Caenorhabditis elegans: one gene and its partners. The protein of the gene in region 2 purifies or fractionates together with the protein of the main gene of each other region. This does not show direct contact. Each region holds a gene or a part of one and is shown on either strand. Other genes may lie near its edges. The genes, in order: spt-16, let-526, B0205.9 and nhr-8.

Evidence for each region.
Region 1: the proteins of let-526 (region 2) and spt-16 fractionate together in Caenorhabditis elegans (co-fractionation; one large-scale study listed by BioGRID). This does not show direct contact.
Region 3: the proteins of let-526 (region 2) and B0205.9 fractionate together in Caenorhabditis elegans (co-fractionation; one large-scale study listed by BioGRID). This does not show direct contact.
Region 4: the proteins of let-526 (region 2) and nhr-8 fractionate together in Caenorhabditis elegans (co-fractionation; one large-scale study listed by BioGRID). This does not show direct contact.

Annotation. Positions count from the first base shown.
Region 1 is NC_003279.8:10,787,527-10,793,686, forward strand, and holds spt-16 (FACT complex subunit spt-16), read left to right. Parts: upstream 1-1,603; 5' UTR 1,604-1,610; coding exon 1,611-1,682; intron 1,683-1,730; coding exon 1,731-1,823; intron 1,824-1,873; coding exon 1,874-2,329; intron 2,330-2,690; coding exon 2,691-4,132; intron 4,133-4,292; coding exon 4,293-4,719; intron 4,720-4,772; coding exon 4,773-5,375; 3' UTR 5,376-5,626; downstream 5,627-6,160. Other genes in the region: F55A3.2 (C2H2-type domain-containing protein), read left to right, coding at 6,066-6,160. UniProt on the Caenorhabditis elegans protein: Component of the FACT complex, a general chromatin factor that acts to reorganize nucleosomes. The FACT complex is involved in multiple processes that require DNA as a template such as mRNA elongation, DNA replication and DNA repair.
Region 2 is NC_003279.8:5,310,923-5,315,579, reverse strand, and holds the start of let-526 (ARID domain-containing protein), read left to right. Parts: upstream 1-1,657; 5' UTR 1,658-1,779; intron 1,780-1,829; 5' UTR 1,830-1,856; coding exon 1,857-1,904; intron 1,905-1,969; coding exon 1,970-2,062; exon of another isoform or gene 2,063-2,063; intron 2,064-3,576; exon of another isoform or gene 3,577-3,711; intron 3,712-3,856; exon of another isoform or gene 3,857-3,970; coding exon of another isoform or gene 3,971-4,030; intron 4,031-4,657. Other genes in the region: F48C1.3 (uncharacterized protein), read right to left, coding at 974-1,113, 1,184-1,247.
Region 3 is NC_003279.8:10,719,263-10,724,023, forward strand, and holds B0205.9 (SPK domain-containing protein), read left to right. Parts: upstream 1-1,551; 5' UTR 1,552-1,563; coding exon 1,564-1,712; intron 1,713-1,758; coding exon 1,759-1,872; intron 1,873-1,931; coding exon 1,932-2,153; intron 2,154-2,756; coding exon 2,757-2,870; intron 2,871-2,920; coding exon 2,921-3,647; intron 3,648-3,692; coding exon 3,693-3,905; intron 3,906-3,953; coding exon 3,954-4,013; 3' UTR 4,014-4,234; downstream 4,235-4,761.
Region 4 is NC_003282.8:7,709,175-7,714,716, forward strand, and holds nhr-8 (Nuclear hormone receptor family member nhr-8), read left to right. Parts: upstream 1-1,969; 5' UTR 1,970-1,974; coding exon 1,975-2,055; intron 2,056-2,603; coding exon 2,604-2,696; intron 2,697-2,744; coding exon 2,745-3,037; intron 3,038-3,362; coding exon 3,363-3,459; intron 3,460-3,505; coding exon 3,506-3,713; intron 3,714-3,916; coding exon 3,917-4,117; intron 4,118-4,163; coding exon 4,164-4,634; intron 4,635-4,681; coding exon 4,682-4,751; intron 4,752-4,826; coding exon 4,827-4,995; 3' UTR 4,996-5,024; downstream 5,025-5,542. Other genes in the region: emc-6 (ER membrane protein complex subunit 6), read right to left, coding at 124-329, 373-452, 505-554; mrps-24 (Small ribosomal subunit protein uS3m), read left to right, coding at 873-965, 1,014-1,119, 1,172-1,272, 1,357-1,551; F33D4.6 (aECM cysteine-cradle domain-containing protein), read right to left, coding at 5,167-5,542. UniProt on the Caenorhabditis elegans protein: Orphan nuclear receptor.

The DNA of each region.
Region 1 (6,160 bases), 5.5 Mb from region 2:
AACAAAGTCTGAAAAATCCTTACAAATAGTTCGCTGGTCTTTGTATATGGATTATCAGTCTCTCCGTATACAAAAGCAAGTGATTTGATCGAATCTAGACCATCGGCTCCCTTCTCCTGTAAAATATTTGTAAAAAAGTAAAAACTATCAAAAACAGATCCAATGAAAATAAAATGGAACTCGGTAATTTTCAAACTCAATCTCACAATTTTTCGATGGAAAACATTTTAAAAATATAGCAATTCTACAGCTTTTATGGCAAAAAAATAGGGAAAAAATTAGAATTCAAAAATGTTCGTCGACAACAACGCAAAACCACAATCGTGTCGAGACCCATCCGAGTAAGCCGATGTCCCTTTAACCAACCCTATCGCGGTTTTTTTTTAAATTTTTAAAATTTCTTCAAATATTTCGTCCGTTTCTCTTGTGGACCGCTGTTAAAATAGTTAAATACTTTATTTTTCAGAAAACAGATAATTTATACCAAATTGACAGATGTAGAGCTAAACTCCTCAAAATTTTCTAAAGTTCTTATAATTTTACTGTTGTCTGCGTTTCAAGGCCTGAAATATTGTAGGCACTATCGTAGGATTACAACCGGATTTGTAACTTTGATTATCTGAAAAGGAAAAATATTAAACTTTTCTTTCAGGATTTTTCGCAATTGCCGGCGTAATAATTGCTAAAAGTCGACTTTAACTTCAATATATTTTAGCATTCCGAATCTGAAACTAGTTCCCAAATGCCATCTCTCCTTATCATTATAGTCTTCTTGCTGGTATTCTTGGAAATTGGATTTTTCCCTGTAATGTGTGGATGTTGGATGGATGTTTGTACACTTCCATTATTCAATATAACATTATCACAAAGAATTGCAACATTTGCCACAGCTCCATTCATGTCAATATTCCTTCATTGGATGGTTGGAATGATTTATGTATTTTATTCAGCGTCATTTGTGATTCTTCTTCGAGAAATCCTTCGTCCTGGTGTACTATGGTTTATGAGAAATCTCAACGATCCCGACTTTAATCCAATTCAAGAAATAATTGATCTACCGTTCACGCGGCATTTCCGAAGACTTGTTGTATCTACAACTCTGTTCTTTTCAACGATTCTTCTGACATCCTACATCCCGCTCAACATAATCTCATCACTTATTCCACATCTTCTACCCTACAGAAACTCCACTTTCTGAACTCTCGCTGGAATTGATGTTTCTTCAAGAATTCATCACAATTGTGTACTCTCACATGGCCCCTCCGTAAATAACATGGCGGGAATATTGCATGCGGAGTGGTTGCGAAAGTGCGTGCGGCTGTTGCGTTCCTTGACCACGCCCAACTTCATTCCATTCTTTTTCGCGCGCAATCCTCACTTTCAGCTCTAATTTTTCAGAGTTTACAGTTCTTCAGTGAAAAAATATTTGTCTCGTCAAAACGTTTTTTTCAAAATTTTAAAATTGTGTCAAAAAAAATTAATTTTTTCGCAAATTTCAAACTTTTAGCCTATCCGAATCCGTTGCTGGTCACTTTGTTTACGTTATCGATTTTTGCTTCCATCTCTCAATCCTCGTGACTTTAACACAATTTCTAACTTTCAGGGGAGAAATGTCTGGAAAACGGGCAGTTCTCAACAAGGATCTCTTTTTCCAGAGAGCGGAGAGGCTTTATGAGCACTGGGTTTGTGACTTTCAGGACTTTACGAATTTTTAATCAAATATTTTACAGGAGAAGGGAGCCGATGGTCTAGATTCGATCAAATCACTTGCTTTTGTATACGGAGAGACTGATAATCCATATACAAAGACCAGCGCACTATTTGTAAGGATTTTTCAGAATTTGTTCAAACTCAAGACAAATTTTTATTTCAGACCTGGCTGTTTGGCCACGAAATCGCTGACACAGTCCTGTTGCTTCTCAAAGATCACATTTACATTCTCGGAAGTAATCGCAAAGTCGAATTCTTCGGATCAGTCACTGGAGACAATCAGAGCTCAGGAAAAGTGCCAACAGTCAGCACACTGCTCCGCGATAAAACCGACAAAGACGCTGGAAACTTTGAAAAGCTCATCGATCACATCAAAAGTGCCGGCGGAGATGTTGGAAATTTCGTCAAAGAGAAATTCAGCTCGGAATTCGTCAGTTCGTGGAATAAGGCGCTCGAGGAAGGCGGTGTCAATAAGAATGACGTCACTCTCGCGTTTACTCATCTGTTCGCAGTGAAAGACGATAAGGAGATGGATTTGATTCGAAAATCAGCACAAGCTACAACCGCATCATGGACAGCTGCAAGAGCTCGCTACGTAGAGATCATTGATCAAGAAAAGGTGCTTATCGTTCTGAAAATAGTTGAACCAGGAGTCCGCTGCAAGCATTTCTACATAATTAGCCAGTTTTTGGTGATAGAATATAATGAAGCAGTTGATGTATCTGAAAATAGCTTTTAATTCAATTGAAAAAGCGGAAGAACTGCTCAAAATCAATCTGAAAGTTGGAAATCACCCGAAAATTAAACTTTCATGCAGTTTTTGAGCGTTCTTCCAGTTGTTTCAATTAAATGTAAAGCTATTTTTAGATGACTAAACTGTTTTTCCTTTTATCTATCACCAATAACTGGCTCATTTTTTAGTACTCCTGGGAAAACCACTGTTTTAATCCCGAGAAAATAATTCTTTTTTATTTTTGCAGCGAGTCCGTCACTCTGTTCTCTCCAATGAGTTTGCCGCCTTCATGAAGGATTCAAAAGTACAACAGGCACTGGCCAAGTATGAAGCCGACACATGCTATGATCCAATCGTAATGTCCGGTGGAAATTACTCGTTCAAATGGAATCATGAAAGCTCGGAATCTCATCTTCACAGCCAGTTTGGAACGATCATCACTTCGTTCGGAGCTCGTTTATCAGAATATTGCACAAATTTGACGCGAACTATGCTCATCTTCCCATCTTCTGAACTTGAGACTGCCTATGAAGCGATTCTTGCCGCCGAGCTGGCAGTAATTGCTGCTCTGAAGCCAGGAGCCAAGCTGAGCGATGTTTATAAAATTGGAATCGATACATTGACGGAGAAAAGTCCAAAACTTGCTGAAACTCTGAACAAGAAAGAGCTTGGATTTGCGACTGGAATCGAATTCCGTGAGAGTCGTCTTGCTATCAGTGCGAAGTGTGACGAGGTTGTCAAAGCAGGAATGGTCTTCATCGTTTATATTGGTGTCGATAGTATTCCAAACAAAAATAAAGGAGAAAAAGGAAAACCCGCCGCAATTGCAATCTCGGATACAATTTTGGTTAAAGAAGAAGGCGATAACGAGATTCTCACCGAAAAAGCCAAATCACGCCTGAAGTCCAACGTCATCAAATTCAAAGAGGAGCAGGAAAACCGTGAAGCTGAAAAGGACAATGATCAGAAGAAAATGCTCGGAAGAGGTCAGAGAAGTGTCGTTCTAACTGATCAGACGAGAAATAAGACGACAAACGAAGAGTTACGTAAGGAACGTCAGAAAGAGCTCGGAGTTCAGTTGAATGAGCTCGCAAAAGCTCGTCTTTCAAAGCAAGGCGGTGGGACCGATGAGAAAAAGTCGAAGAAATCGAATGTGTCATATAAAACCGAAGAGAGATTCCCACAAGATGCAGACGTTCAGAAGATGTTGATTTTCGTGGATCGCAAGTATGATTCTGTGGTTGTTCCAATATTTGGAATTCCTGTCCCATTCCATATCTCCATGATAAAGAATTGTTCGCAATCAGTTGAAGGAGATTTCACATATCTTCGAATCAACTTTGCCACTCCAGGATCTCAAGTTGGAAAGGATAGTGGGCAATTCCCACATCCACTTGCACACTATATGAAGGAGCTCACGTTCCGTGCGAGTAACATCAAGGATCATCACAGTGATTCGACTGCGCCGAGCCATAATTTGAGCACCGCATTCCGACTCATCAAGGAAATGCAGAAGAGATTCAAGACTGAAGAGGCTGAAGAGCGGGAGAAGGAAGGAGCTGTGAAGCAGGACAAATTGATTTTGAGCCAGAACAAATTGAATCCGAAGCTCAAGGATCTTCTGATTCGTCCGAATATTATTCAAAAGCGTATCACTGGATCGTTGGAGGCCCACACTAATGGATTTAGGTACAGTTTTGAAGGAAAACGAATGTTTCTGAACTCAAAAATTGCCAAATTTGAAAACTTTCGTTTCGAAATTATGCCGTTTCGGATCAGTTTTAGTCTATTTAAACAAAAAAAATCTAAAAGCTCAAAATTTCCTATTTTTATTTCAATGATTTTCCAGATACACATCTCTTCGTGGTGATCGTATTGATGTTCTCTACAACAACATCAAACATGCATTCTTCCAACCGTGCGACAATGAAATGATCATCCTTCTGCACTTCCATCTCAAGAATCCAGTATTGTGGGGAAAGAAGAAGTATAAGGATGTTCAATTCTACACAGAAGTCGGAGAAATCACTACGGATCTTGGAAAGTATCATCATATGCAAGATCGTGATGATATGCAGAGTGAACAGCAAGAACGTGAAATGCGTCGTCGTCTCAATGCTGCATTTAATAGTTTCTGCGAGAAGGTGTCTCGTCTCACAAATGATCAATTTGAATTCGATTCTCCGTTCGCTGGACTCGGATTCTTTGGAGTTCCGTATCGTTCGGCTACCACACTCAAACCAACTGCATCGTGCCTTGTTAATCTCACCGAATGGGTATGTTTTTTGAATTTTATTCCTGAATTCTTTTATATTTTATTTATTTTCAGCCTACATTCATCGTCACACTCTCCGAAGTTGAACTTGTCCACTTTGAACGTGTCTCTCTTCAACTCAAGAATTTCGATATGGTCTTCATCTTCAAAGATTACAAGATCAAACCTCAGATGGTCGCCCAAATCCCGATGAGCAGCATCGATAAGATAAAAGAATGGCTTCATACTTGTGATATTTGGTACAGTGAAGGAATTCAATCACTGAATTGGGCAAAAGTTATGAAGACAATCACTGATGATCTTGAAGCATTCTTTGAAGAAGGTGGATGGAGTTTCCTTAATGTTGAATCTGATAATGAAGAGGCAATGGATGATTCTGATGATTCGGATGCTTATGATCCTGAAGAAGAAGATGCATCTGCTGGATCAGGAAGTGAAAGTGATGAAGATGAAAGTGAAGGTGAAGAGACTGAATCCGATGATGATGATGAAGGATCGTTGGATTCCGATGAATCAGAAGGAAAAGATTGGTCAGATTTGGAGGAAGAAGCAGCGAATGCTGATAAGAGACGTGAAGTCGAAGAACCTTCACGTGATCGTGATCGTAAGAGACCACATTCGAGCAAGTCTGGACCATCGCACAAACGCAGAAAGTAAATCCTGTTTGTATAATTTCCTCCGTTTTATTCTTTTGTTTTGTTTTTCAACTATTTAAATCCCCAAGAATTTTCTTCGCATCTCAATCAATCAATCCGTCCCGTTACACCCCCCATTTTACAACAATTTTACAACTAAAATCTGTCAATCCCCTTATTTTTCTTTCCCACTCAAAATTTGAGTCGATGCTAAAATATTTTTGATTTCAAAATCAATTAATGTCAAATGAAGTTTCATGGAGGCACGTTTTTACATAATTTTGTCGGTTTTCTGAAAATGTTTCCGTTTCTACTTTTTCTGATTAATATTACAACAACAAAATTATACAGATTTCTAAAAAGGAAAAGTTTTGCCAAATGGGTCTCGCCGCGCAGACGACAGGTTACTGTAGCTCGTGTTGATCTTCGAGCCGCTTTAGAATATTATGCAAAAGCGTCATAGACACGAGTTACCGTAGTCCTCGTGGCGAGACCCATTTGGCGAAAAGTTTTAATTTTAGACGTCTGTGTAATAAGCAGTTGCTTGAAACATGAAGATCGTATGCAGAGGGTGGAGCATTGGAATGCTCTTGACATGCCACGTGTCTTGCACTTAGCCCTCTGATTGCGGTGGATTTGTGGGTTCGGTGAGTGGGAATTTTGCTGAAAATAATTTTTTAATTGAATAAACTCGCTAATTTCCGATTTACAGATGCCGAAACCACCTGGCCCAGTGGCAAAACGGTTAAAACTGAAGGATGATTCAGTTTCGGGTTCCGATTCAGCATCTACGAGAACGAGTCGAAA
Region 2 (4,657 bases):
CTATAACAAAAAACAAAATGCTTTATTCAATATTTAAATAGTCGAGGAAATTCGAAGAAATAATATATTTTCTCACTCAAATTCTGTAAAAACGAGCGAAATTCGAAATTTTTGCGATACTATTCAGTTGATTCGCTCATCTAACAATTATATACCATACACTTTTCACATTTCAAATAACTTGTTTCCTATTTTTCGAAAAATCATTAAAATTATAGTTTCCCGCTGAAATATTCGAATAAAACAAATTTGTTGAATGTAAAAAAATTGAATAGAGGAATTTTAAGTTCAGTCAAAAATTATATTTTGTATAGAAACCAAAAATTTATATAAAAATCTAACGTTAAAAAAATTTTTGAAATAAATGTTCGAATACTAAATTCGCTGTACCTTAAAATTAAGTTTAAAATTCATTTCGAAAAAATAAAAAATTTTAAGTTAGAAAAAAAGCTGTATAACATTTTATATTTCAATCGAACATTTTCTTTACTTTTTTAAAAATAGAATGTTCAAAAACTATTCAAATCCGGTATACCTAAAAATGAATAAATAATTATTAATATGGAAGTCATACGGTAGTTTCCTAGCAACTCTATTAAGCTCTTTCAATTTCTAAAATCAAATCAAAAAGTGCCACCCAAAAAATCATAGACGAAACGCAGAGTGATAAACAAAAAGTTTTTCTTTCTTTCTTCATCATTTCTTTTTTTTTCCTTTCCGTTCATTTTCCCACACCATAAGCATTGTGTGTCTGTTTCAAGTTCATATTCATTTTTCTTTCTTCCGCCTCTGCGTCTCTTCACTGTCTTGTGATCACTCATCACCAGGGTCGTTCTCGTTTTTTTGTTGTTGTTCAGCCTCCCCTTTTGTATTTTTGTTGCGCCGTATTATGACTATGTTTGATAATAAGAGGTTCATGGTTATGATCATCAATTGGGTGATAGAGAATAGTAGGTGATAAGAGTTCTCTATTTCAGGAAGTACAGTGCTCCATCAATTTTGATCCCAGAACCGCCAATTTTGAATTTTCACTTAAATTCTCAGAATTATTGATTTTATTTTCAAAAAAAAGACGGCCTTTAGAAGTTAAATATAATCCAAATATAGAAATATCTGAAATTTTAACATTTTATTTTCAAATATGAGGCGTAAAAAATACAAAATTATTTTTTCTCCATTTTACCAATACAAACTGCTTTGAAAGTGTTTAAAATTATAGTAATTTTCCTATAAATTTTGAGATGCATTTTTTAAGGCGCACGCACGGATTTATTAAGATGGGTCTCGGCGCGCGAAAAAGTTTATGGTAGCCATTTCAAACTTTTGTGGTTGTTTTCGTTGCATTTTTCTTTCGAATTAATTCGCTAAAAGGTAATTATTCCCTATGAAAAATACACTTTAAAAATGTCACCATAAACTTTTCAGTGAAGCAGCCAAAAAATTCAAAAAAAACTACCATAAACTTGTTCGCGCTTCGAGACCTATCTGAATTAATCAGTGCGTCTTCTAGTGAAAATACGATAGAAAAAAACTGTTTTTATCCTCGAAAGTTTTTTATTTAAATTATCATTTATCCAAACGAAACAAATATTTTCTGCAATATTTTCTTGTGTAACTTGACTTTAAATATCTAAAACCATTTTTTTTTCTTTCAGACAAAACAATCCCCTGCCGTGCTGTGTCTCTGGAACTTGTTCAGCGCACGGAAAACGAGGGCGAAGGAATTTTTCGTGGAAATTTACGGTATAAATTCAGTTAATGGTTGTGTCGACGGAAATTGTAAGTTTTTTGGAAGCTAGATTTATTTTCATTATTTTTTTTTTTTTCAGGAAGGAGAACACTGAAACAGAGAGAACATGCCAGGTGACGACAATGCAGTTGGAACGGAGACAAATGAAGATAAGGTAACTTTTTTTTTAATCTGAAATTATTTGTTGGAGAATATTTTCATTTTTTGTTTAATTTTCAGCCAACTACATCAAATGCAGTCACCGCAGAAAATCCGTCGAGAGGTGATGAGTCGCAGCAACAGCAACAACAACCGCAGCAGCAACAGAAAAGGGTAAAACCAGGACATCATCACTTCCTTCGTGTTCTTTTCTGCAACAAAATCCGAAAATCACTCATTCCTCTATGTCTCTTCATCTTCGCCTACTATTTCCTCGCTTGTCTAACCACTCGAATGAAATTGGGAGGCGGGGATGATGATGATCGAGGGAAGCAAAAAGGGGGGTAGAAAGAGAAGGTCGCTGTTGGGGCTGTTGGTGAGGGGCTGCGTTTGAATACTTTTTCTCTCCGTCTCGATTCGCTTGTGACTAGGCCATCTGTCTCCCCCTTTCGTTTAGTTGTCAAAGAAGCGCTGTGTCTCTCCGATTTGCACGCTCTATGGTTAGTTGTCTAAGCAGGCTATGGCCTTCGCGAAGCGGGTGTCTCCACTTTTCTAGTACTATCTCGCCGTCTGATCTGTATGGAATCTCTGCGATACGCACACTCTATGCGATTCGGTTTGCGGAGAGAATGGACGGCGGGACGCGGGGTCGCAGTCGTCGCTCTTTCTCTTCTCTACATTCTATACACACACACAGCGCAATTTCACTGCGGACTCTCAACTTGTAGAACTATTTCCACCGTGTCTCCTATCGTTCGGTTTTCAAAAAGACGAAGGCGACGCAAGCCGCATGACGGACGGACACACACACACTGGAGGGAGGGTAGGGGGTAAAAATGAACGAACGGGGCGCGAAAAAAGACGGAAGGGACGAAAATAACATGTAAAAGAATAGAGAGTTTAGAGACAGAAGCCATCATCACATAGTGTAGTTCATTTTTAATTACAATGGTTTGAACATATTATATCATGTTCAATAAGCAATAATAATGATAATTGTTGAATAGCAACTTTTCGAACATTTTTCCATAGATTCTAAATACCAATTTATAACATTAATATAATGTTTTTGAATATTATCTAGAAGATGCCACCAATGTATAGGTTACATAATCATCCAAAAATTCTAAGAATTTCGTTTGAAGTTTTCTTTGTTAGTGATGAATAGGGAAAAATGATTTCAAAAAAGTTTGAAAAATCTGATAATAGATAATATTTAGTACGAAAAATTTCACTAGGATTATTGCCACCAGACATAGTTTCCAGATCTACAAATGGATTCAGATTCAGATAGTGAGATTGGAAAATCAGCCATCCAATTTGACAGCTCAACTTACAAACCTACGAATAAAATGTGGAGAAGTGAAAAGAAACACAGGCATTGCACGAAAAATCGGGAAAGACTGAAAAAGGAGACCTCTCCTTTGCCTTCTCCTTTTTTCGTTTTTTTTTCCTTTTTTATGTGCTTGCTTCCCATCGTCAAGCACATACGCACACATACAAAGAGACACTACACGTCTTGATTGTGTTTTGAGAAGCACGGGACGCCGTCGCTGATGACGTTGTACTCATATCCGTATTAGTCGTTGCACTATTTTCAGTGCATAGAACGTAGAAGTAGGTTGCACATCTGTCAATAAGCATATTTCACTTTGCCAACTAATTCTCTTCACTCTCACTCTCAGAAGCGGAAAATAGTGAAAGACCGACGATCACATCGGAAACGAAACATTCGTGACGTCATTTTGGTTTCTGTCTCGGAGAGGAGTCCCTTTCGATTCGGTGTCCAGTCTCGTTCCCCCTCTCTCCGACGATTGGAGGAGAAAAATGAAAAGGGGAGGCCTGGGAAAGTGACGAGTGACCGAAGATTACAAGATACACATGATGATGAAAAGTTGAAGAAGGAGGCATATGAAATAAACAAGCCCATCACTCTCACTCGTTCCGATGGAATGAAATAAGAGACGGAAATGCCGATTGGAGAAATAGACGGCACGTGGAAACTGAATAGTGATTAATATGCTACGTCTCACACTCTCTCGGACTCGTCTCACATTTATTTGTTTGTTTTTGTAATGACCGATGATGATGACGAGTCTCTCCGGTCGGCTGTACTTGGATGGCAGGAGAGATTGTTTATTGGTTAGAGTTAGAGGCATGCAGAAAATAGCTTTAAAATTTGGAAATTGGCGACTTTAGAATGAATAAAGTGACATTAGAGAAGATGAGTCATTATTTATAGACTATCACTAGATATATATAATTCCCTAGGGATTTGAAAAGTTGAGTATAGTATGATATAAATGTGTACCCTATCATTACTCACTGATATATAAACTCCACGAGATTCTACTTTCTGATCCCTAATACATTTGAATATCACACGGGTTTGGTGAAATCTACGTTATTCTTATTCCGTCTCCATCCTGAGCCCCTTTTCTCCATAATACTATAATCACCTCTATGCGCTCGTGCACTTTGACGAATCCGTCTAAATGCATATTTCTGATGAAAATCTTTGAGGGAAAATAGCCCACCACGCGGAGAATATATAGACTAATCCGGTCCTGTGCATGCATGTTCATAATCTGCGATCTCATGACTGCTACACATACTCTATTATTCGAGTCGACCGATTTTTTTAGGTTAGTGGAGAAGCATTCTAGCATAATATTCTAATTGGAATGTGATAAGGGAGCTTGCTAATGAGATATGGGATGTTGACAGGAGAAACGAAATGTGTTTGCTGAACTGAATAGCGGATAAAAT
Region 3 (4,761 bases), 5.4 Mb from region 2:
AATACGGCTTTCGGGGCCTGTAAAAAATTTGTCTTACTAGTTAGAAAAATATTGTCAACAGAAAAAATGTTCACAATGTCACACTGAACATTTTGTTGGTTGACAACTTTTTTGTAACTTTCATAGAAGCGGAGATAGGAGCATCCAAAGTGTGAGGGCGCAGTAGAGCGGGTACTGTATCAAAGCACCCAATCTTCTACATCAAAAATCATCTTTTCAACATGGACGGATTTTTATGTATAATAGGTCAAAATGTGCGTATTAAAAATTGGAACAATCGTATTTTCTTAACTTTTTCAGTCCAAGCCAAATATTTTCTGAAAATTGCGAAAAACCTAAAAATTTGGTCATTTTAGTACTGTAGTCAACCTTCTAGATTTAATTTCATCTTACAACATTGACCAATTTTTATGCGTGATATGTCAAAATGTGCGTATTAAAAATTAGAACAATCGTATTTTTTCCGATTTTTGAGTCCAAGCCAAGTATTTCCTGAAAATTGCGAAAAACCTGAAAATTTGGTCATTTTAGTACTGTAGTCAACCTTCTAGATTTAATTTCATCTTTCAACATTGACCAATTTTTATGTGTGATATGTCAAAATGTGCGTATTAAAAAATAGAACAATCGTATTTTTTCCGATTTTTGAAATTTTTCATTTTACGGTCACTAGCTTCCGGAAAGTGCTGAAATTTTGAGCTGTAAATGTTTGATGTCAAAAAAAGTTTCTCTCATAACTTATTTATTGGGGTTTTTTTGTATTAACTCATTAATTGGGAATATATTGAATACATTTTACAAAAAAAATTTGGGAAAAAATCTTAAACTTGCTCGTTTTAGAGGGGAATGTGTAATATTATGTTCACTCTCTTCACTTATTTCAATGACACAACTATTCTGTGAAATTTATGCCAGACTGTAGAGGACAGTACTCTTTATCCGTTCCAATTGTTTCTTTTCAGAAATATGCATTTTCCTTTCTTCCCGACTCCTTCTAAGTGAGGTGGTTGAGCGCGCACTCTCGCCATGCTGTGGAGGTGAGAGACGCAGAGACCGCCTTTTTCTCTGCGCTCTCTCTGCGCATTTCTCGTGGTGGAGGCCGTGAGTGAGGCTGTCCCATCGATCCACTGCGCACAAAAATGTCGGGAAAATACTTTTCTTTTTAATTTGTGATGTTTTTGAATGCAATTTGCTTCTTTCTCCACTTAACTCAATAAATTTTTAGAATCTCGATAAAATATCAATTTTATAAATTACCATGAGAAAGCTATTTGAAAAATTATTAACAAATTTCACGAAAATCGACACTGAAAAATCAAAAAAACAATTATTCGAATTGCCCTGTGACGTCACAAATTATTAAAAAGTATTTTTTCGCCATTTCGTGCGCAGCGGAGAGATGGGACAACCTGACACCGCGTGATTTCATCGATTATATTTGTCTTCTTAATGCTTTTTTTTATAAAAGTGAATAAATCCCGTAATTTAACGATTTATTCGTTTTTTTCAAAAGTATTTAAAATATCTAATACCCTATTGTGCTCCATTTCAGGTTAACCAAACATGTCATACGACGCCAATCTCACGAAATACATGGATTTCCTCGTGAAAAAGACAAAGAATGCTGCTGAGCCAACGACGTTTAAAGAAATATTCGATGAATATAGCCGACTAGACCCTGATCGGAGTACATATTCAATGTGCTATGACAAGTTAGAGCTACATCTCACTGTTTGTATTTTAAAAATTTAAATTTAGATTTCATCATAGGCTTGCACCAATAATGAATGAATTGAACACCTACAGTATCAGGGAAAGAGTTCGAGTAATGCTCACAATGGGTGGAAAAGTTTCCAAAGATTTCCTAACGACGTAGGTTTTAAGAGTGCTGTCGGAAATGTAAAAAGGATAAAGAGAAAGACAATTTGCAGAATTGAAAAGCTGGGAACTGTCCAACTCGATGAGAAGAGAAGAATCCTAAAATATGCCTCGAAGGACGGAAAATTCAAAATAGAAGGTGCACGGTCCGAATTCATGGACTTTCTTATCCAACAGACCAGAGATGCAGTTAGACCGATGACATCGACCTCAATTGCCAAGGAGTTCTGCCGTATCAAGGATCGCCAGGTTTCAGTTGATACGTTTAATAAAAAGTGAGTTTTAAAGAGTAGAGAAGGGAAGAGAAGAGGAGAAGCGCCAGTGGGGATTTTGTCTAAATATACTTATAATGACCCAAAACGACCGAATATCATAATAAAACACTTCAAAAAATTGTTGATTTTTCATAATTTCTTTTTGGCAAATTGCCAAAATTTTGAAAAAAACGAGCTTTTGAGGAAATTTAGAGAAATGTCGCATGTTTTGACCGCTACAATGTTTTAATAAAAATAATTTAAACAAAATTAAAACATAAGAAATGAATATATTTACATTTGAATATATAAAAAATAATTTTTATTTTTGTCGATTTCCAAAATTATGAGTGGCAAAAAGTGAGTAATTGCCACTTTTTGACAATGAATAAAAATTTTTCAAAATTTTTTTGAAAAGTTTTATCATGATATTTGGTCCATTTGGGATCAAAGGAGTGGTTTCTAACAATTTCCCCACTGGGGCTGCTCCACCTTTAATATCTCTTGAATGAAAATTGTTTTCCCACATTTTTCGAATTTTGAATAGTTTTTTTTCTTCAATTTTCCACAAGTTGAAGCCACTTGTAGAGCAATTTCGCTATTGATAATTCAACTATATTCTAGATTTCGTCGAAATCTGGCACCAAATATGAGTCGATGGAGCAGCTACCTACTCGGAGATCGGATTCGGATGATGTTTGTATTAAAAGGGACAGTGAGAACTGATTTTCTTGCCGAGTAAGAAACAGTTGAACTTGAAATTAAAAAAAACTTAAATGAATTTTCAGAATTGAAAAATCTGGCACCGTTCAACTGGATGACCAGCGCCGAATTGTCAGATATGCATCAAATGATGGAATGATAGAGTTGGAAGAGAAGACGTCGGGAGTGAAGAGAAGAAGGTCGACCAAATCCAGCAATACACCTACAAAAAGACGCGAAATCACTGAGAATGAGTTGTCTGACACGGATGATGTAGAAGTTATGGAAATAGTTGATGGCTACGTGGAACAGGAATCTGCATCGTTTGATTTCGAGGAATTGGTCAATCGAGAAGCGTCATACAATCTGGATCAAGGGCACCTCTACCGTGAGATTCTAGAGGCTCCACTCCTTGAAAATCGAGATTCCAAATTCAATCCTTTCAATGCAAAGAGTGGTCGGCAGGCAGAGGTTCAAAGATCTGGAACTTTTTTAAACGAATCGGAAGGTACTTCTACAAATGCACAAGAATCTTTCGTCTTCCGTGGCTTCTTGAAGCAGGAGCCTGTATTTGAGCAATTCCATATTCAAAACATGTCAAACAACCTGGTGAATCTACCCATTCCACCAGAGATTGAGGAAACCCCAGTTCAAGAAGGTCACCATGTTGAGCCATCGGGAATCACTGGATCTGACGGGATTAGACTTCACAAGTTTTTGAATTCGTTAGAACTCATGCTCACATCTCTCGAATCAGATACTCTAAACGATTTAATGCAAGAGATTGAAGAGATTCGCCGTCGAACAGATGAGGTAGTTGAAGAATCAAATTTTCCAATAAATTATCTTTTTTTTCAGATTCTTCCATCGGAGCTAGTGATTACTACCCTCCAGACATTCTTTTTGGGAATCACTCGAAAGTTTCGGCCGGAAACCTCAGCACCGAGCAAATCAGCAAAAGAGTGTCTGAGAATCTTCAAATATGCTCTCCTTTGGCTTAAAAACCCGTTGCTTTACGATCTACAAAAGAGAGTTCAGGACGAAATTGAAAATCACGAAGCGGATGGAAAGGTATTAGATTGAGTTATTAACCAATCAAAATTATATTTAAATATTCAGGTTCTCCTAATCGCTGACGTCCAGCAAGGTATTCGCAATATTCTTTTCACTGTTGTTTAATTCACCTGTACTTTTCATAATTATCCTTTTTTCTCGTGATTTCACCATGACTCTATTCACCTTTTACGGTTTCGTTTTTTTTCCAATTTTTTAAGAGCCCTCCACTGTTAATTCTACTGTTATATGACTGGTATTTTTCTCACAAATTGAACGGTTTTACGATTTATTTAAGTTTCTATCACTGAAAAATCTTTGATAATAAATCGGAAGTTAATTTTTTTTATAGAATGGATAGATCAATTGTCACAAGTGAAATACATCACATTGTTTCATTAATTTAAAATCTTTTTTCCTTTATTATAAAATCAATAAAAGAGCGGAAATAACAATCTGCATCAACATTAAGTGCGGCACAGAAATGTGGGCGGGGTTAAAAGGCAAAAGTGCGGAAATTCAAATGAAGAAATTAGCAAAATTTAACAATTCTCCAAAACCAGTGGTTTTTCAATGTTATAGAATTTTTTAAATATTAACTGTTTAAGTTCTTTAACCAGGCTGAGCGTGCTGACGTCACAATTTTTGGCAAAGAAAATCCCACATTTTTTGTAGATCAATCCAAAATGGGACTCTTTGACACGATGATCTGAATTGTATTATGTAAGAAATTAAATAGTTTTCTCATAATTTTAGGTTTCAAAAATGTATGATCTAAAATTCTAGTAAACCTTGAATTTGACTTTTTTTGGAAGATACATTGACTAGACGTTTACCGTCGTCATCCAAAACTTGTGTTTTATTCATTTTCGAT
Region 4 (5,542 bases), on a different chromosome or scaffold from region 2:
CTATAAATAGGTAGATTAAAGCTGGATTGATTTATTAAATTGTATAAAATGTTGAAAAGAATAGATACATCTATTTTAGAAATAAATAAAAGGGAATGTAGACTTTCGCGAATAAAATGGATCTCAGTATACATGAACCATTCCGTAGAAGAATACCCAGAGCAGAACGAAAGTGAGAAGACCATTTCCGTGCGACCAAGTGAATGAGTTTCTTTCCGGAAAGTAGCTCAACCAGTTTCCTTGTGATTTCACGTTCCATATAACGGCCTGGATTCCAACAGAAATGAAATAGAGAATGAAGCCTTGAAAACCGGTAAGTCCGAGAATTCCTGTAAAAGAAGGATTTTTTAAATGATTTTTTTTGAAAATTACCTGCTGCCATACCGGCGGCGCACGACTGACACGTTCTTCCAAACTCGAGAGCTTCGACGTTGTTGGTTATCGCTGCCGTGCTGAAGAAATATATACATGATTATTGAATTCATGATTTTTACTTCGACTCACTTGTAACACTCATCGTTCTTCTTTTCTGCTTTTGACGATTTATCGGACATTTGAAAATCTGAAATTACAAATAACACTAATAATCAAAAAAGAACATGTTCTAGAACAACATAAAATTATTTAAAATTGAATAAAACTGGATTGCAAAGGGAATTTAAGAATTAAATAGAATAAATTAATAAATTTGTCTCTGAGAAATCTGTGCATTCTGACGTGACAGTGTATCAGTCCTGGGGAGCGCACTTGCAATATTCTTTTTTTAGCTAATTTTTTTTCTTTAAAAATATTGCATTTGCCTCGCTTTTATACTGAATCGCTTTTATAAATATATTTTTCTGCTTAAAATATTATTTTTATAAATTTCAGACATGCTTCGAAGTATACAACATGTCGAAGCCCTCAGCAGTCGTCAAATTTCGACAACATCGATGCTTCTCAAGAACAGAGCGGGTAAAACCAAGGTTTGTTGATCTTTCAATTATTTTCCCATTTATATTTTGCAATTTCCGTCTACATCAAATAGAACACAACTTCTTACATACGAAATGGCTCAAAAACCACATCATATTGGCGTGCGAAAATCGTGGCTCACATGGCATTCACAGAATCTCGAAGGTTTGTTCCAAAACTGAATTACGATTTAACAATTTTTAAAATTTGTTTTTAGAATTCCGTCAATCTCAACCACTGGTTGTTGCACAAGATGAAGTTGTTCGTCGGTTCATTCGAGGATTTTTCCCACAAAATTTAGTCGTTAGTGGAAATGAGGTAATAACTTATCAAAAAAATTTTAAAATTCAGTATAGTATCTATTTCTCTTATCCAAGTTTGCAAAACTTCACATTTTTCCAGATTGTAATCAAACGACGAGGAAACGTACTGATCGTTGCCGGATTCCTTCAATATTCGCGTCGACTCGATATTCGAAGAATCTACTGGATGTTCGGGTTTGCAGAAGAATTTCTTTCCATTCTTCTGAAACAACCAGTGAAGCTAGAAATGGCATTTGTGGAATCCGAAGAAGATGTAGCATACAACTATATCTAAAACTTTCATCTTTGTTATAGAACCGAAATACCGTAGTTTTATTTTACTTCTTTAATTGTTTCTGTTGTGTTCCAAAAAACAAAATAAATCTGAATTTTGGCATTTGGATTCTGGATTTTGGTCCCTGAAAAATATACGAGAGTCAACGATAAGACTTCATAAAATTATCAATCAGCGCATTGGTTTGACAAAAATCAATAAATATTTGTGCTCACTTCGCACACTGATAAGCAAACCCCATAGTCTTTCATACAAACTATTGCGCCCTTTCAATCGTCCTTTTTAACTATACGTGAATCACAGTTAACTATGCGTCGCTCATATAATCACTGATTATTATTCGTATCTTATTCCACTTGTGGTGTGACTTATCTGCAAAACCTAACAACATTTTAATCACTAAAACAAAAATTTCGTCATTCCATGCCTTCGTCTTCTCCATCGATGGACGAGTCTCGAAGGTCTGCTGTTCCACCAAAAGAGCCTGCTGGCAGAATTTGCACAGTTAGTTTTGATATTATTTAGAATATAATCACTTTATTGAAGAGCCTCTTGACGCTGGTTTAAAAGTTGAAAAAACCATCAGAAAGTTGTAATTTTATTTTGGAAACGGCGTGAGATTTTTCGATTTTTGCTTAAAAAATACGGTATCCGGTCTCGCCAAGACAAGTCTTTAAGGAGTACTGTAATTTCAAACTTTAGAAGAACATGCATATTTAACGTGAAAAACTAAAATAAAACACATAAATGTTTTTAAAAAAGTATTAATAGCTATGAATTATCAATGAAAATTCCACAGCTTGAAATTACAGTAATCTTCAAATGCACACAGCTTTTTGTACTGAACAAAGATTGTCGTGCCGAGACCTGGTACCGTATTTTTGACCTAAAAATCAAAAAGAAAATTCCGTTTGGATACATATCGTCTTTTCCAAAACGTAAGATGAGTTCCATAGTGGATTACTACAAATCTGGTGGTATTTTTGTAAAAATATAATAGAAAAACGTTTTTTCATTTATACTTCTAAACCAACAATTGTAATTAATTTTAGGTTTGCTCCGACCGTGCAAATGGATACAATTTTGGTGTACTCACTTGCGAATCTTGTAAGGCGTTTTTCAGGCGAAATGCTTCAAAGCATAAGGTTTTAAAAAAAAAAGCATACTCAAGTTGTTAAAAATTTTGTGTTAAGGAAATTAAATGTCCTTTCTCTGATTCTTGTCAAATCACATCAGCATCTCGCAAGTTTTGCCAAGCTTGTCGATTGAATAAATGTTTTGCTGTTGGAATGAACAGTGAATGGTTAAATGATTTGAAACCGAAGAGTTCAATTGTTTCTGGAAAATTCAAAAGAAAGAAGCCTGATATGAAGAATAACTTGAAAGTGGAAGTAGATGATACTGAAGAAGATTTGGAAAATGATGATGAAGAACAAATTAGTGTCCCCAAAGCATTACTTGAAAAGCTTATCAATAAAGCTAATGAGTAAGTTTCAATGAAATTATCCGGAAATAATAAACTACTGTTTCAACAAATTTACTATAATATAACGGGAAAATAACAAAAAAACGCCTTTACCCCAGAATGCAAAAACAGTAGCCGCGCACGTATGTAGGCATGAAGAAGTGCCTACCATGGCAGCCTTAGCACGTTCTCACATTTATTCAATTGAATCTATTTAATTAAAGTGGTCTCTCGATAACCTGTGATATGTACCGTATGAGAAAGTACAATTATCTAATCAGTAGATCACACAAGACCACAAAACTACGTCACTCTAGTAACAGACAATCGTACATTGAACTTTCAGAAAATCAAAAGACAGATGTACATGCAAATGCCAGTGTGGATTCTATCCAATTACTCAAAGACTCACCGCATACGAACCAAAGGATACAACAGCTGTGGTTAGTAGAGTTTAAAATACAAGAAAATCAATTATTTTATATTCAGAACAGTCCACAAGATATATCATTCTCCCATCATCTTCATCATTCGGATTCGTTTTATTCTTCATCTACTTCAACTCTTTCTCCAATGTCGGTTATCAGTTGTGCTCCATCTTCACATGATTCCAGTGGTTACAATACTTCTCAACTTGTTACTCAATCTCCAACCAACTACACAGTTTCTCCGGCGTCTATACCGAGCTCAATAACTGGTATGTTTTTAGGAGCAGCTCGTGAAGCTGAACGCTAGAACCTCACTGTCAAAAATGTTTGACAACAAGCCAGACATAACTCATCTAGAAGGCTATCACTACGAATTCAAAGTAGGCAGAAGAGTTACGTCCGCCTTCCGAGCCGACAAGAAAACACTTTTATTAATACGTACTGAAGTAAAGAATATACGTCTAAAATTTAGAACTGTCTCCACAAATGCCATCGCAATATCCTCCAATGTTATCACCATTTCAATTTGGTGTTATGGCCCAAATGGCTGCGCCAGCCAACTTTTTGAATTTTCCTCCAATGCCTGAAAGAACATGGACTCCAATTCAAGCAGTGTCCACAGTTCCAGTAACTGAAACTCTACCTCCAAATTTGCTAGAACAAATTCATTCAAGTACTGTTTCATGTCATCCATAAGTTTGAATTTTGCAACTTTTCAGAGATTGACAAATACATTGGAGTTTTGAATGAAGACGAGATAACTCTTTTAGAAGAACTTCATGTACAAAATGAGCCATTAAATGCTCCACTAATTCAATGGCACAATCCGAAAAGCATTGATGGAGTTTTTAGAATAATAGAAGAAGCTCTACGAAGGATTGTTAACATGGCATGCCAATTAAGTCTATTCCGAGAGCTTCACGTGGACGATAGGAAAAATCTCTTGAAAAGTGGATTTGGGGAGTTGTTGATTGTGCGGGGTCTTATGGCCTATGACAAGAGTGATAACAGCTGGAATCATTCATTTGGAGTACGAGGAAAAATGGAGGTAAAGGTGGAAGTTCTTAAGAATCCAAAACTTGAAGAACATTACAAAGCACACATGAACTTGCTTTCAACGTTTGGAGAAGATGTGAGGAATAATGAACATTTGATGCTCATTTTCAATGCAGCTGTTATATTTCATCCTCGTGAGCCAGTTTTTCAAAATTGATTCGTTTTAAAGTTATTAATTCAGATGTCTCCAACTTACGTGATAGTAAACGAGTGCACTCAACACAAGCAAAATATTTCCAGATGCTCTTGAAGTAAGTACTGTACGAGAAAAGCACGTATTGTATAACTTTTTGATTATAACATTTTTAATATTGTCCTACTTTCAGACTTCTTACATTTGAATATGGTAAATCACGTGCTGACATTGCATACAGTAATCTTCTGAATCAAGTCGTCGAGCTTCATCGTGTGAATAGGACCTTACTTCGTGTGTTTTATGGACTAGATATTGCTCAATTGGATCCTCTGATACGAGAATTATGTTCTTTTGAATAACCATTTATTAACCATGAATTATTGCACATATTGCACACTTATTAACATGAGAAAGTTTTTGAGAAAATTGCACAAAAGTCAAGGGCAGAAAGATGGAGAAAATATTACAAACAAATACACGTAGATCTGGATCGAAATCAAAATAAAAATTAATATAAAGGTATTAATTAATTACTCCTCTTTCAACCACTTTTGGCACTTGGCAACATAAGCATGAGAACGAGCACATGTTAGTGCTGGATAATAGTTCTCAATAAAGTAACAGTGCTCTTTTGCGAACTCTTCAACGGTATCAAACAAGAATTGACGTGCGAAGCTACGAAGGTTCAAGCATTGATGCTTTGTCACAACAGCTCTCTTTTTGTTTTTCTTGACACGTTGAGCACGTGTAACTGGAGCTTCAGTGGTGGTGGTGGTTGTTACATCTTCTTCTTCATCTTCAACTAACTCTTCTGCTTCAATAACATCATCTTCCTCTTCCTGTTCCACGGCAGCTGTCACAACTTCTTCCTCTTCTTCTTCTGGTGTAGTTGTTGGAGCTTCAGTA